3 linked regions of the Drosophila melanogaster genome follow. The protein of the gene in region 2 purifies or fractionates together with the protein of the main gene of each other region. This does not show direct contact. Each region holds a gene or a part of one and is shown on either strand. Other genes may lie near its edges. The genes, in order: CG10638, Glo1 and GstO3.

Region 1 (3,756 bases), on a different chromosome or scaffold from region 2:
GCGACTCTTGAGATCAGTATATTGTTATTTTCGACCACAGCAACACGTTCGTTTCGGCCAGGAAATTGTGAGCATATCGGAGAGCCGCGAATTGACAAATCGAAACAATATCCGAAATTATACAACTGATCAACGTCGCAAGGCACACGAAAGATTCGATAAACTTTGATAGAGACATTTAGAGAGATACAAATAATTATTTCCCCAGGTGAGCACTTAAAATGTTAATAGGATCATATCTAGCACAAAATATAGTATATTTATATATGATAACGATTGATATGATGACATTTTATAACATTGTAATATTGTACTAAAAAAAAACTAACGTAAAAACTAAACTATCTAACGAGATTCTATCTTATACATTTACATAGTTACACTTTTTTTCCGAACACTAAATATCTCTTGCTAGTACGGATAGTACTGATGATTCTTCGCTTTATCGAATTTCCAGATTCTGCGCCCTGTATTAAAGGTCTTCATTTGGAGCAACTCCTCCGGCGTTAGGTGGAAATCAAATATATCCAGATTCTCTACGAGATGGGCTCGCTGGGCAGCTTTTGGAATAGGTACCGTGCCAATATCGATCTGTAGATTTTTAGCCAATAAATATCTTTATCACTTTACAATTCTAAGGTCGTTTATACCAAGTATCTTAGGATGATTTGAGCTGGTGTCTTGCCGTATTTCGCTGCCAACGCCAGTAGCTTGGAATCAGTGTAGTAATCGGGCAGCGGATTGCAGGCTTTGGGACGCCCCAGTGGCGAATAGGCAACCACGGTGATATTGTGAAATTTACAGAGCTCAATTAATGGGACTTGCACCAATTCCGGATGACATTCTATTTGTAGGTTTGCCGGCTTGATTTGGCAGTTTTCCAGTAATCTCTTCAGCTGATTGGCATTAAAGTTGGACAATCCCAAGCTGCGCACCAGCCCCAGATGCACCAGTTGCTCCATACTTCTGTAGGTGTCCACATAGTCCACATCGCTATAAGTTCCAAAGATCAGTTTCTTTAAGCTTCTTGAATCTAAACTATGTATGTTTAGTTGTATCCCAAACTCACTTGGTCCTCAGCTGGCCATTCTCGTGGGGCATCAGATCTTCATCAGAGATGTAGTCCACGCCCACCGGCGAATGCATCAGATATAGATCTATATAGTCCACGCCCAGTAGCTTTAATTGCATATCACAGGCGTATTTCACCATCTTGGGTTCGTGGTATATGTCCCACAGCTAATTGGATATTGATTTTCGATCTATTTACATGTGCTGGTAACTATATATAACCCATCTGTACTATATCCTACCTTTGTGACCAGAAACACCTGTTCGCGTTTCAGTTTCTGGTCGCCAATAAGTTTAGCTAAAACCTTGCCTATAATGCCTTCATTCCTGTACAGATATGCGGTGTCTATATGCCGATAGCCCATTTCGAGGGCGTGGCACACGGCAGCCTCACAGCGAGACTTCTTTAACTACAGATAACATAATTAACTTTCAATTTCACAATTGCACTTAATTGGAATTGAATGGTAGAAATTTCCATAAACAATTTCTGCCTGCTGATTTATTAGCATCGCCGATGATAAGGACTTACATTGTAGGTTCCTAGGCCCAGAATTGGCATCTCGTAGCCATTGTTTAGCTTAACAGTCGGAGCGAGCTTCATTTTGCACGTTTAAATCAAGAATAAATAAGGAAATTCAATCGCTTAATAAAAAAAAAGCCGGTGAGCATAGTGTGACCAAAACGGCTTTGCGTAAAAATACCCAATGCCATTCTGCTAAGCTTTATTATTTAAATATTTTTAAGTGTTTAAATAGCTAAAGAAACTTTGATTTATATTAAATAGGAACAAATGTTGTCATAAAACAGTGTTAATTTTATGTTAAAAAGTAAAATGTTCAAATTTAATTACGGCAGTGCTTTTGCATTTTGGCAGCTTGCAGCACTGGTTTATAACTAGTACTTAAACAGCTGTTACGAAAATATCTTTTTTTTTAAGAAATCTAAACAAAAGAACTTTTAAAATAGATGGAAACATGAGATCCATTTGAAAACGTAAATAAAAATAGAAAAAACTAAAACTGCCAGCAAACGCACACAAAGCAGAGTTCAAGTTGTCGCAAAGAAACCTTGAGACCTTGAAAAGCAAGTAAACAAATCAATTTTTGTGTTCTCCCTTATTATAAACAAATAAATTCTAGGCTACAATGAGCCACTTGGGCCTTGCGGATGTGCACCAGTCCGAGGATGCCACTCCTGACCTGGAATCCTTCACTGGCTTCGGCAACTCCGCCGCCGAGGCCTTCATTCAAAGTCTCGCAGGAATGGTGAATCAGGGCGATGTGGAGACCATGATACGGGCTCAAAAGCAAATGTAAGCCATTTCATTTAACCAGAGATTATAATAAACATCCAAAATATATCCCACAGGCTGCAACGCTTTGAGAAAACCAACGAGATGCTGCTCAACTGCAATGCCTTATCGCAGAGTCGTTTGAAAAGTGCCAGCGAGGATTTCAAAAGACACGTGAAATGCCTGAGCGAAATGAAGAAGGATCTGGATTACATATTCCGCAAGATACGGATCATCAAGCAGAAGCTACAGTCGCAGTTTCCCGCCATTTACGCCGAAGTTCAGCCGCAGCGTAGCAGTTTGGCTGAGGAAGCCGAGGATGATACGGAAGCCCAGGCTAAAAAGACTGCAGAAACACCTGCTCCTGCTGCCGCAAAACCTGTCCTATCCACCAAGAAAAGTGCCGCCACCATAGAGTACGTGCAGATGGAGGAGGCAGTGGACAATGGCACTGTGGAGATCGAAAACGAGCTGATCAAGCGAGTTTGTTCCGTGGAAACTGCCAATCCCAATGATTCCTCCGACTGCACATCCGAGGATACAGGTTAAGCCTAATTAGCTTTAGTCCCTCGATATATTTATCTTCATATAATAACTTATTGGTTTAATATTTGTATAACCTGCTACTACATACAAGGACACAATTCGTTTAGTTAGATTTAAATGAAATATGCGTAATAATTTAAGAAACTAATGGCTTAAAATATAATCTGGTACTTGTACTGCTTGGGCACCTTTGAGATTATGACGCGACCATCGTAGCTGAGCGAAGCAAAGATCCACGGATCCACATTGCTCCACTCCGCGCAGTAAACGGAGTCCTCGTGCTGATCGAAGGTCTGCAGCAGACCATCTGGCAAGAGTTTGTGCCTCTCCTCGGCATCGGCACCACTGAAGTTGGACTCATCTAGTCCAGCCTGAACCTGCGTCTCCGAACTAACCGATCCCGCACACGTGAGCAGCACCTTGCAGTCACTGGAGCTGGAGAGGATCAGTTGGTCGTGGAATGTGTTGAAGCGAACGCACCAGACCCAATGCGAATGATCGGAGCGCTCGAAAACGGGAGCCTTGGGCATGCGACAGTCCCAGATCCTCAAGTAGCCATCGTCACCGCCGGTGACCAAATGGCACTGCTTGTTGGGATTGCAGTCCAGGTCACGGACCATTTGACCATGCGCATCGTTGATGCTCCAGGCACAATGCTGTGTATCCCGCACATCGTAGGCACTTAGATTGCCATCCTGGAGGGTGAGAAACTGGTGGCCCTGATGATGATGCGACCACTTGCCGCTGGTGAAATGCTGTGTGTGCTTTGCAGATCCACTGGATGAACCACTGGCCGGCACCTCGGCCACCACGCGAGTAGAGGACTCGGCCCGCTGCATCACAGC
Region 2 (3,756 bases):
GAGGGGCTACTGCAAAGTTTTGTCCCTACACGGTTCAGTCGCCAACATGCGTTGAAATAGTGAGGAGCGTGCCTTTGCCGATGAGGCCTACTTTTCAAGCGGATGTTCGGGTCTTTAAACGCAGCGTGCATTTCGGAATCGCTTTAATTTAGCCCCGTTGGCTCCCGTCCCAGACCGCAAATCGATTTTTACATGGGTCACTACATTCAGGCAAACTGCAAGTGCGACAAAACGAAGAACTGGAGTCCCCCGACCCAGTTAGATCACCTGAGAACATTGAAGCAGTGACAGGGTCAATATTGTGATCTCCGCGGCGTTCTGCGCGCAAACACGCATCTGCCCTTGGACTGACTATCCGATCGTTCTGTGAGCAGAATTTTGCATGATGATCTTCAATTTCATCCATATAAGATGGCGTAGTGCAGGAACTTTCAGAAGCCCATTTTCATTTATGTCGGTCGGTTTACAAACAAAAAAAATATGCGCTACTGGGCTGACAGCAACCCTCTATATTTGCATGAAAGGCCTTTGCTTTCACCAAAGGTCACAGTAAACACTTGGTTTCAACAAGAAGGTGCAACGGCATACACCATCGCATACAGCATCGATGGCTGTTTTGAGGGAACACTTTCAGAGCGCCTCATCCCAATTAAAGGTGATTTGGAATGGACGGCACGCTCTCCCGATCTGTCCCCTTTTCCCCAAACGCCAGAAATCGGTTTACGCAATGTATGGAGAATGGGAAACGTCACCTGTCATATTTCATCTTCAAAAAAATATAAATAAAATCTTTAGACATGTACCTAAATTATAAAAACAAATAAATATTTTCCGATGCCTACAATAGATTTTCATTGAGTTCTGAAAAAAAAAGGAAATTATGCTGCCGCATGCTGTAGTTGAAGCTATCATATCTACAAAAACGAGTTACGAAATGTAAAAATAGAATATCCATATGGAACTATCTTTTTTACACGCATGACAATTCTAAAATGCCTTTGAATGAAATTCCATCTGATTGCGGAGGAGTTTCTGTTGGAAGTGTTCCTTGTAGATGATATCTACATCCATATTAAGATTGGTATTGTACCGCCACTATGGACTATTCAAATAACCTTTTCCTAGAGTCATGACATTAGAAGGGCCTACTCAAATGGAACCTTGCGAATCGCATGCACAAACGGAAAACCACTTACTGGGTCAACTCAATGGTGGCCTTGCGGCTCAGCGCCCAGCTGCGTCGCTGCTTGGGATCCTTAGGCACATCGGTGGCGTTCTCGTACCTGGGCCAGATACAAAAGCGATTGTCATTGTATCAATATCAAATTAAGATAAGCCGGAGCAATCGACCTTACCCCAGAAAGTACAGCGAGAACTTGGCCTCGGGGAAGTCCAGTTTCACCAGCAAGGTCATCCCGAGGACGCCCGTGTAGAAAGGCAGCGACTTGCGTGGATCCTTGATGCGGTACATGGTTTGCTGGAAGAGGAAGTCCTGCGCCGCCGACAGCGGGTTAGTTGCGTTGCGCGATGGCGCGGTCTGCCCGACTGGAACCCACTCACCTTGGTGGACGAATCCGGCTTCTGGCACAGCTCGTCCGCCTGGGCATTGCTCAGTCCTGTCACGTCGCCCATTCCGATGCTTTAAGGCAATTAACCAACCACCTGTTGATAAAATCCGCGAGGGAATTGCCAGTGTGACCCTCGCTCAGCCGGTGAAACGTACCATCGGGCGGCGAAAATGTGCACACAATTTTATCGCCAAAAAAGTAAGGTGGGGCTGCGAACCAACTAATTTATACCCTCGCATTTATATGAAATCAAACCACCTCTACTCTGAAATATTGTGTAAAACCAGAAATCCATTTCTGTGCATAATTCTCATTATTCACTTTAAAGTGCAAAGTATATAAAGCATAATGTGCCCATTGCACATTATTCTTATTGAATAAATAAAGCAACTCATAATATATTCTCCATGTAAAATCCAAAAAAAAAAAAATGGATTTTAACTTTCAAACAACGAAACTGTTGTTTGCTTACTATTATTTTCAATTATTATACCCGATAGCCGTAGAGTAAAATGGTATACTATATTCGTTGAAAAGTATGTAACAGGCAGAAGGAAGCTTTTTCGACTATATAGATTATATATATTCCTGATCAGGATCAATAGACGAGTCGTATGAACGTCGAGATCTCCGGAACTATGAAAGCTAGATTCAGCATAGTTAAGAATGAGCATACAGATTCTAAAGACAAAGACGCTGAGCAAGTTTGTTGACCCATGTTGCCACGCCCACAAACCGCACAAAAGTGCCACGCCCACACTTTTGAAAAACCTGTTGATATATTGTTTAGATTTTTATTCGTCTTGTAATTTTCTATCGATGTGCAAAAAAAATTTTGCCACGCCCACTCTAATGCCCTTAAACCGCTTAAAACTGACATGCCGCATTTTTCACGATTTATTACGATTTACTAAATTACCGAGTTGTATATAAAACTTTATTAAAAAATGTGAGATTGTACTAGTAAACCGAGTATTTCCTGATAATTACTATTTTTATTCCCACCAAATTAAACGCAGCATTTAATATTTGTAATTGATTGTTGTCGGTATTATAACTAATTTAACTGAAAGTAATATTCTTATATGCTTTGTGTATAAAGTCGTGTACATGCGTGTTTTGTATATAATATATATTTTATATTTGCTTACCAATTAGACTATTTTACTTGCTGGATTTCATTGTGATCTTAGGCATTTCCGGACATATAATTAGTTATATAATTAGATCTAGATTCTTTAAATATGTATATTGTGTTCATGATTATCTCAATCATTTTGTTGTCGTTTAGTTGCTGTTGATTTGTTAATAATTTGTTGTTGGTGCTGGCGGTGAATGTGTCAAATACTCCTTCTAGACCAAAAAAACCCTCTAATCCTAGGCGCATTTGCATGTACAAAAATTAATTGGTATTATCATCATTTCGCTTTTTCTCAGATATTGGTCGTTTCTCTCGTGGATGGTACTTCATAAATACAATTCATTGTTGGCTTGGCAAATCAAATAGTGTTTATCTCAGTAAGTGTATCTGGACTTCGTGCACGCTCACTTTTGGAAGGAGTTGTGTTTTGTGTGAGTAGAGTATTACTGCTCGCCAGTGTAACAAATTCTTTGGACATTCTGGGGTGAATACAAATATAAACAAAAATGGCTTTCACCAGGCCGGTTATTTCGTTTCACATTTATTTTCTTTCGTTGCGTTTAACTATTGCAAGCTCATAACAAAATCGTAATAGTATAAATTTAAAATTAATTAAAAAACTACAAATAAATTCAAATAAAACATGAGCTAAAAACACAAATGTCTTCATACCGCACAATTATGTGACTAACAAAGAGAGGGATAAATATAGCTAACAAATTAATAAAAAACGTAAACTCAGATAGCTTTTACTTTTCATTAAATTAACTAAATCGCCAACGATAAAAGTAAGCTTGACTACAAAGATGAGCGAAGTAAGGGAAAACAAAATAACACTTGAAAATATCTTTTAAAATATGTTTCTTTGCGCTTTTGGTATCTGAATATATTAAAAAGAAGTAAGGGCTTAAATTAAAATGCGTAATTAATGGCAAAAATCCGAGTGGTCACTTTTTTCTGGAAAACTTAAAAATATTTTCTTGATTTGCAGCATTCTTATTACAAACTAAATAATTTCCTCAGTTGCATCCTCTACATCGTTCGTTT
Region 3 (3,730 bases), on a different chromosome or scaffold from region 2:
TAGTGATGATCGGTTACCAATATCTATTGGATGTATTAAAACCAGATTATATATTGTGTTTTTCAGCAACAGGAGAACAATATGGATCACGATCACGTAACTCTGCTCTGCGATTTGTGTTCCACGTAAGTGTTTGGAGTTATAGAAGCAAAATATATACTAACTCCCTTTCCCATGTGCAGATCCTTTGATACGCCGGCGGAGTGGGTGCGCCACATGAACAGCCAGCACACGGAGATCGAGTTGGCCATGTTCAACAGCAAGAAGGATGGCGAGCAGAAGGGGTGTGTGTCCTAAGGGCTAGCAAAAGCACACTGATGAACTCTGTTCACTTGCAGCCAGCAGCCACCGCCACCGCCGGCGACCAGCAGCTCTTCCACAGTGTCCAACAGCCAAATGCAGCCAAAGTATCCCAGCTCCACCGCCACCAGATCGACGCACTCCCTCATGCTGCACAAGATGAGCAACAGCGATGCAGTGGCCACAACCACATCTCCTGGAGCATCCACCTCACCGAATGGCTAAGGCCAGCCATAGGGATCAACTTCAAAGAACCATTGGACCATTGGCGAATGAAGCTGAAGGATTCGAAACCGGATGCCCATGGATAAATTTGAAAACAGCCATATTCTTCATTCATTTTCAAAAATCTCAAGTCGTTCCAATAATCAAAAGTGAGATGGATGTTTATATGCAACAGCAAGAACCGTGATCAAAATGCAACCAGTTTGCATATTTTATAGAGCAACAAACAAAATACAAATTGCGAACAAAAAAAAATTAACGAAACTATAAACGAAACTTAGAATGGAAATCGTCAGGCAACGATGCAAAACAAGACAAAGCAAGAAATTCAGAAACGAAAGCAAAGCAACATTTAACTCCAGTGTGTAGAATTTTTTTAAGTGTACGTATTTACTTAGTTTTAGCTATTTATCCCATGTATTTACCGTAACAACAACGCGCAATTGATTCGGGAAAAAAAACGATACAGTTTAATCATTAAATTTTAATGTTTACCATTTGCGGACATTTTTAAAATGAATTAAAAACTAAAAATTAATCATCCACTTGAGTTTTCAAAAGGATGCATCAAAAGAAATCCCATTTGTAGGACCAAAAGCAGCGAAAGGATCTTTTTACATTTTGATAAACAATTAATTCCAGCAGCAAGTGTAGTTGTCATTATTTATTACTTTCCAATTTGGTTTTTCGAATGCAATTACTGATAACAACTATTTATCGCGACTCAATGATGTCAGCAACTCTGTTGTATATGTATTAATACTTTTTTGTATTTTTTGTAAGGCATGAACGGAAATTTCGAGAACTTTTTTGTACATAGATTAAGTTTGATTTCGAAAGTCCGCCGATCGAAACTTTTTACGAAAAGTTCATAAACTTAAAACTCTAAATGTACGTAGTAGTTCCGAGGTTCAATTAAAAACAAAAATAAAGCTCCCCCCAAACCATGTAAAAACAAAATATATCTATATTTACAAACAGGCGTGATTATTAACAAACTAAGTAGATGTACTATGTATAATGCGGAGGAAATGATTGTCTCTTCCCACAAAACAAATCGCAAATGTAGTAAAGCGTTTTAAATCGAAATAAACGTCTGCGATGAGAAATCGTTTTTAAAAGCTAACGAAAACTAAGAGTCACGTCGCAAAAAGCTCGATTATTCTTATTCGCGTTAAAACACAAACAAAAAACTTTATATAAACAGAGCGCCGTCGAAGAGAAAACTCAGTTCGCATTTCACCGTCGACATTTCAACAGTTAAGCGAATTTGTTCAGTTCTGCAATTAAACAAAATGAGTTCTGGTAAACATTTGGCCAAAGGTAAGAGAGCAAGCAAAACCAGTTGTCGCCGCCGCCAAGAGAAACGCCCATGTCATTAGAGTGTTTATAGTATTATTTATAAAACAAGTTCTCCAACATTCAGCGTAATTATCGAATAACGATTTTTATATTTCATAATGTTAAAGAATATTGGCATGAATAACTGGGATTTTTTGGTTAAAAAGTTAGAAAGGTATATTATTTGGTAAATTTCAATACGATCTTTATTCTTTTACAATTGTAGGTAATGCATTAAATTAATTATTTGATTTGTAAAATTTACTTACATTTTTAGCTATAGCTTTCACCCCGATATCAGATAACCCATAATATTTACACTCTAAAAGATAACGTAGCTACAAAATTTGAGCTTTATCACGACTGGGCCCTATCAACATTAACTTAAGTGCAATGACTTGCTAAACAAATAATAATACAGGGGTGGATTTTAGGGTTCCACAAGTGACTCATGAAGTTATTGATTTATTTGTATAACCTAAATTTAACTGGTAAATAAATTCTATCTTTAGGTTCCCCCAAGCCTGTACTCCCTGACGATGGAGTCCTTCGCCTGTACTCCATGAGGTTCTGTCCCTACGCTCAGCGGGCTCATCTCGTCCTGAACGCCAAGAATGTGCCCTATCACAGTGTCTACATCAATCTCACCGAGAAACCAGAGTGGCTGGTGGAAGTGAGTCCGTTGCTTAAGGTGCCTGCCCTGCAGCTGGTGGCGGAGAAGGGTGAGCCCTCGCTCATCGAGTCGCTGATTATTGCCGAGTATCTGGACGATAAGTACCCGGAGAATCCGTTGCTGCCCAAGGACCCATTGAAGCGGGCACAGGACAAGATTCTGCTGGAACGTTTCAGCAGCATCACCAGTGCCTTCATAAACATCCTTGTGCAGGGCACCGGTCTGGAGGATTACTGGACGGCACTTGATATCTTTGAGGAGGAGTTGACCAAGCGGGGCACCCCATATTTTGGCGGCAACAAGCCGGGATTCGTGGACTACATGATCTGGCCCTGGTTCGAACGCCTCTCTGTAATCGAGTTGAAGTTGCAGAAGGAGTACAACTTCAACGAGAGTCGTTTCCCGAAGATCACCAAGTGGATTGCCCTCCTGAAGGCGGACTCGGTGGTGCAGTCCTTCTATGCCACTCCCGAGCAGCACAACGAGTTCTGGCGCACCCGCAAGGCCGGCAATGCAAACTACGATCTGCTGGCTTAGATCGGTACTGAAAATGAAACTATTATATAACAAAGGAGATTTAATAATGTTCTAAAAACAATAAAAACTAAAATATTTTATGTGACAAAGAAATGAATTAAGGCTAGAAAGGCAAGAATTCCGTTCCAGATTCACAGAACGTGGTTCGAAAAACTTAGTTCTTAAAAAGTTTTGTTTTAAACAAATATTTTGGAGCAATATGCAGGTTGCAAGGGGGCTTCACTGTATCCACATGGCTTGGTATGTGTGTCAGCCGCAAGCCACCAAGTTCAGCCGCGTAAGCGAAGCCAACCGGCGAAGGGCAGTGAGCTGCACTTTATAAATCACTCGAATGACAATCGCTATCACCACTTGCATCTCTGGACCCGAGCACGCACATCATGAGTAACGGCAGGCATTTGGCAAAAGGTGGGTAGAGCCAGGAAACCAGGATAATCATAATTGATAATAAATGCGCCCACTAGGCTCACCCATGCCGGATGTTCCCGAAGATGGTATCCTTCGCCTGTACTCGATGCGCTTCTGCCCATTTGCCCAACGGGTGCATCTGGTCCTGGACGCCAAGCAGATCCCGTATCACAGCATCTACATTAATCTCACAGACAAGCCGGAGTGGCTGCTGGAGAAGAATCCACAGGGCAAGGTGCCGGCTCT

The links.
Region 1: the proteins of Glo1 (region 2) and CG10638 purify together in Drosophila melanogaster (affinity purification with mass spectrometry, with the first as the bait; one large-scale study listed by BioGRID). This does not show direct contact.
Region 3: the proteins of Glo1 (region 2) and GstO3 purify together in Drosophila melanogaster (affinity purification with mass spectrometry, with the first as the bait; one large-scale study listed by BioGRID). This does not show direct contact.

The regions. Positions count from the first base shown.
Region 1 is NT_037436.4:12,499,562-12,503,317, forward strand, and holds the start of CG10638 (uncharacterized protein), read right to left. Parts: upstream 1,751-3,756; 5' UTR 1,676-1,750; coding exon 1,604-1,675; intron 1,482-1,603; coding exon of another isoform or gene 1,314-1,481; intron 1,240-1,313; coding exon of another isoform or gene 1,070-1,239; intron 994-1,069; coding exon of another isoform or gene 651-993; exon of another isoform or gene 640-650; intron 592-639; coding exon of another isoform or gene 412-591; exon of another isoform or gene 240-411; intron 209-239; exon of another isoform or gene 41-208; intron 1-40. Other genes in the region: CG10681 (uncharacterized protein), read left to right, coding at 2,220-2,386, 2,443-2,914; CG10646 (uncharacterized protein), read right to left, coding at 3,064-3,756.
Region 2 is NT_033778.4:7,394,235-7,397,990, forward strand, and holds the start of Glo1 (glyoxalase 1), read right to left. Parts: upstream 1,699-3,756; 5' UTR 1,633-1,698; coding exon 1,561-1,632; exon of another isoform or gene 1,493-1,560; coding exon 1,356-1,492; exon of another isoform or gene 1,284-1,355; coding exon 1,197-1,283; exon of another isoform or gene 762-1,196; intron 1-761.
Region 3 is NT_037436.4:8,517,134-8,520,863, forward strand, and holds GstO3 (glutathione S transferase O3), read left to right. Parts: upstream 1-1,751; 5' UTR 1,752-1,820; coding exon 1,821-1,848; intron 1,849-2,378; coding exon 2,379-3,076; 3' UTR 3,077-3,162; downstream 3,163-3,730. Other genes in the region: CG6765 (uncharacterized protein), read left to right, coding at 67-125, 183-284, 339-525; se (sepia), read left to right, coding at 3,457-3,484, 3,541-3,730.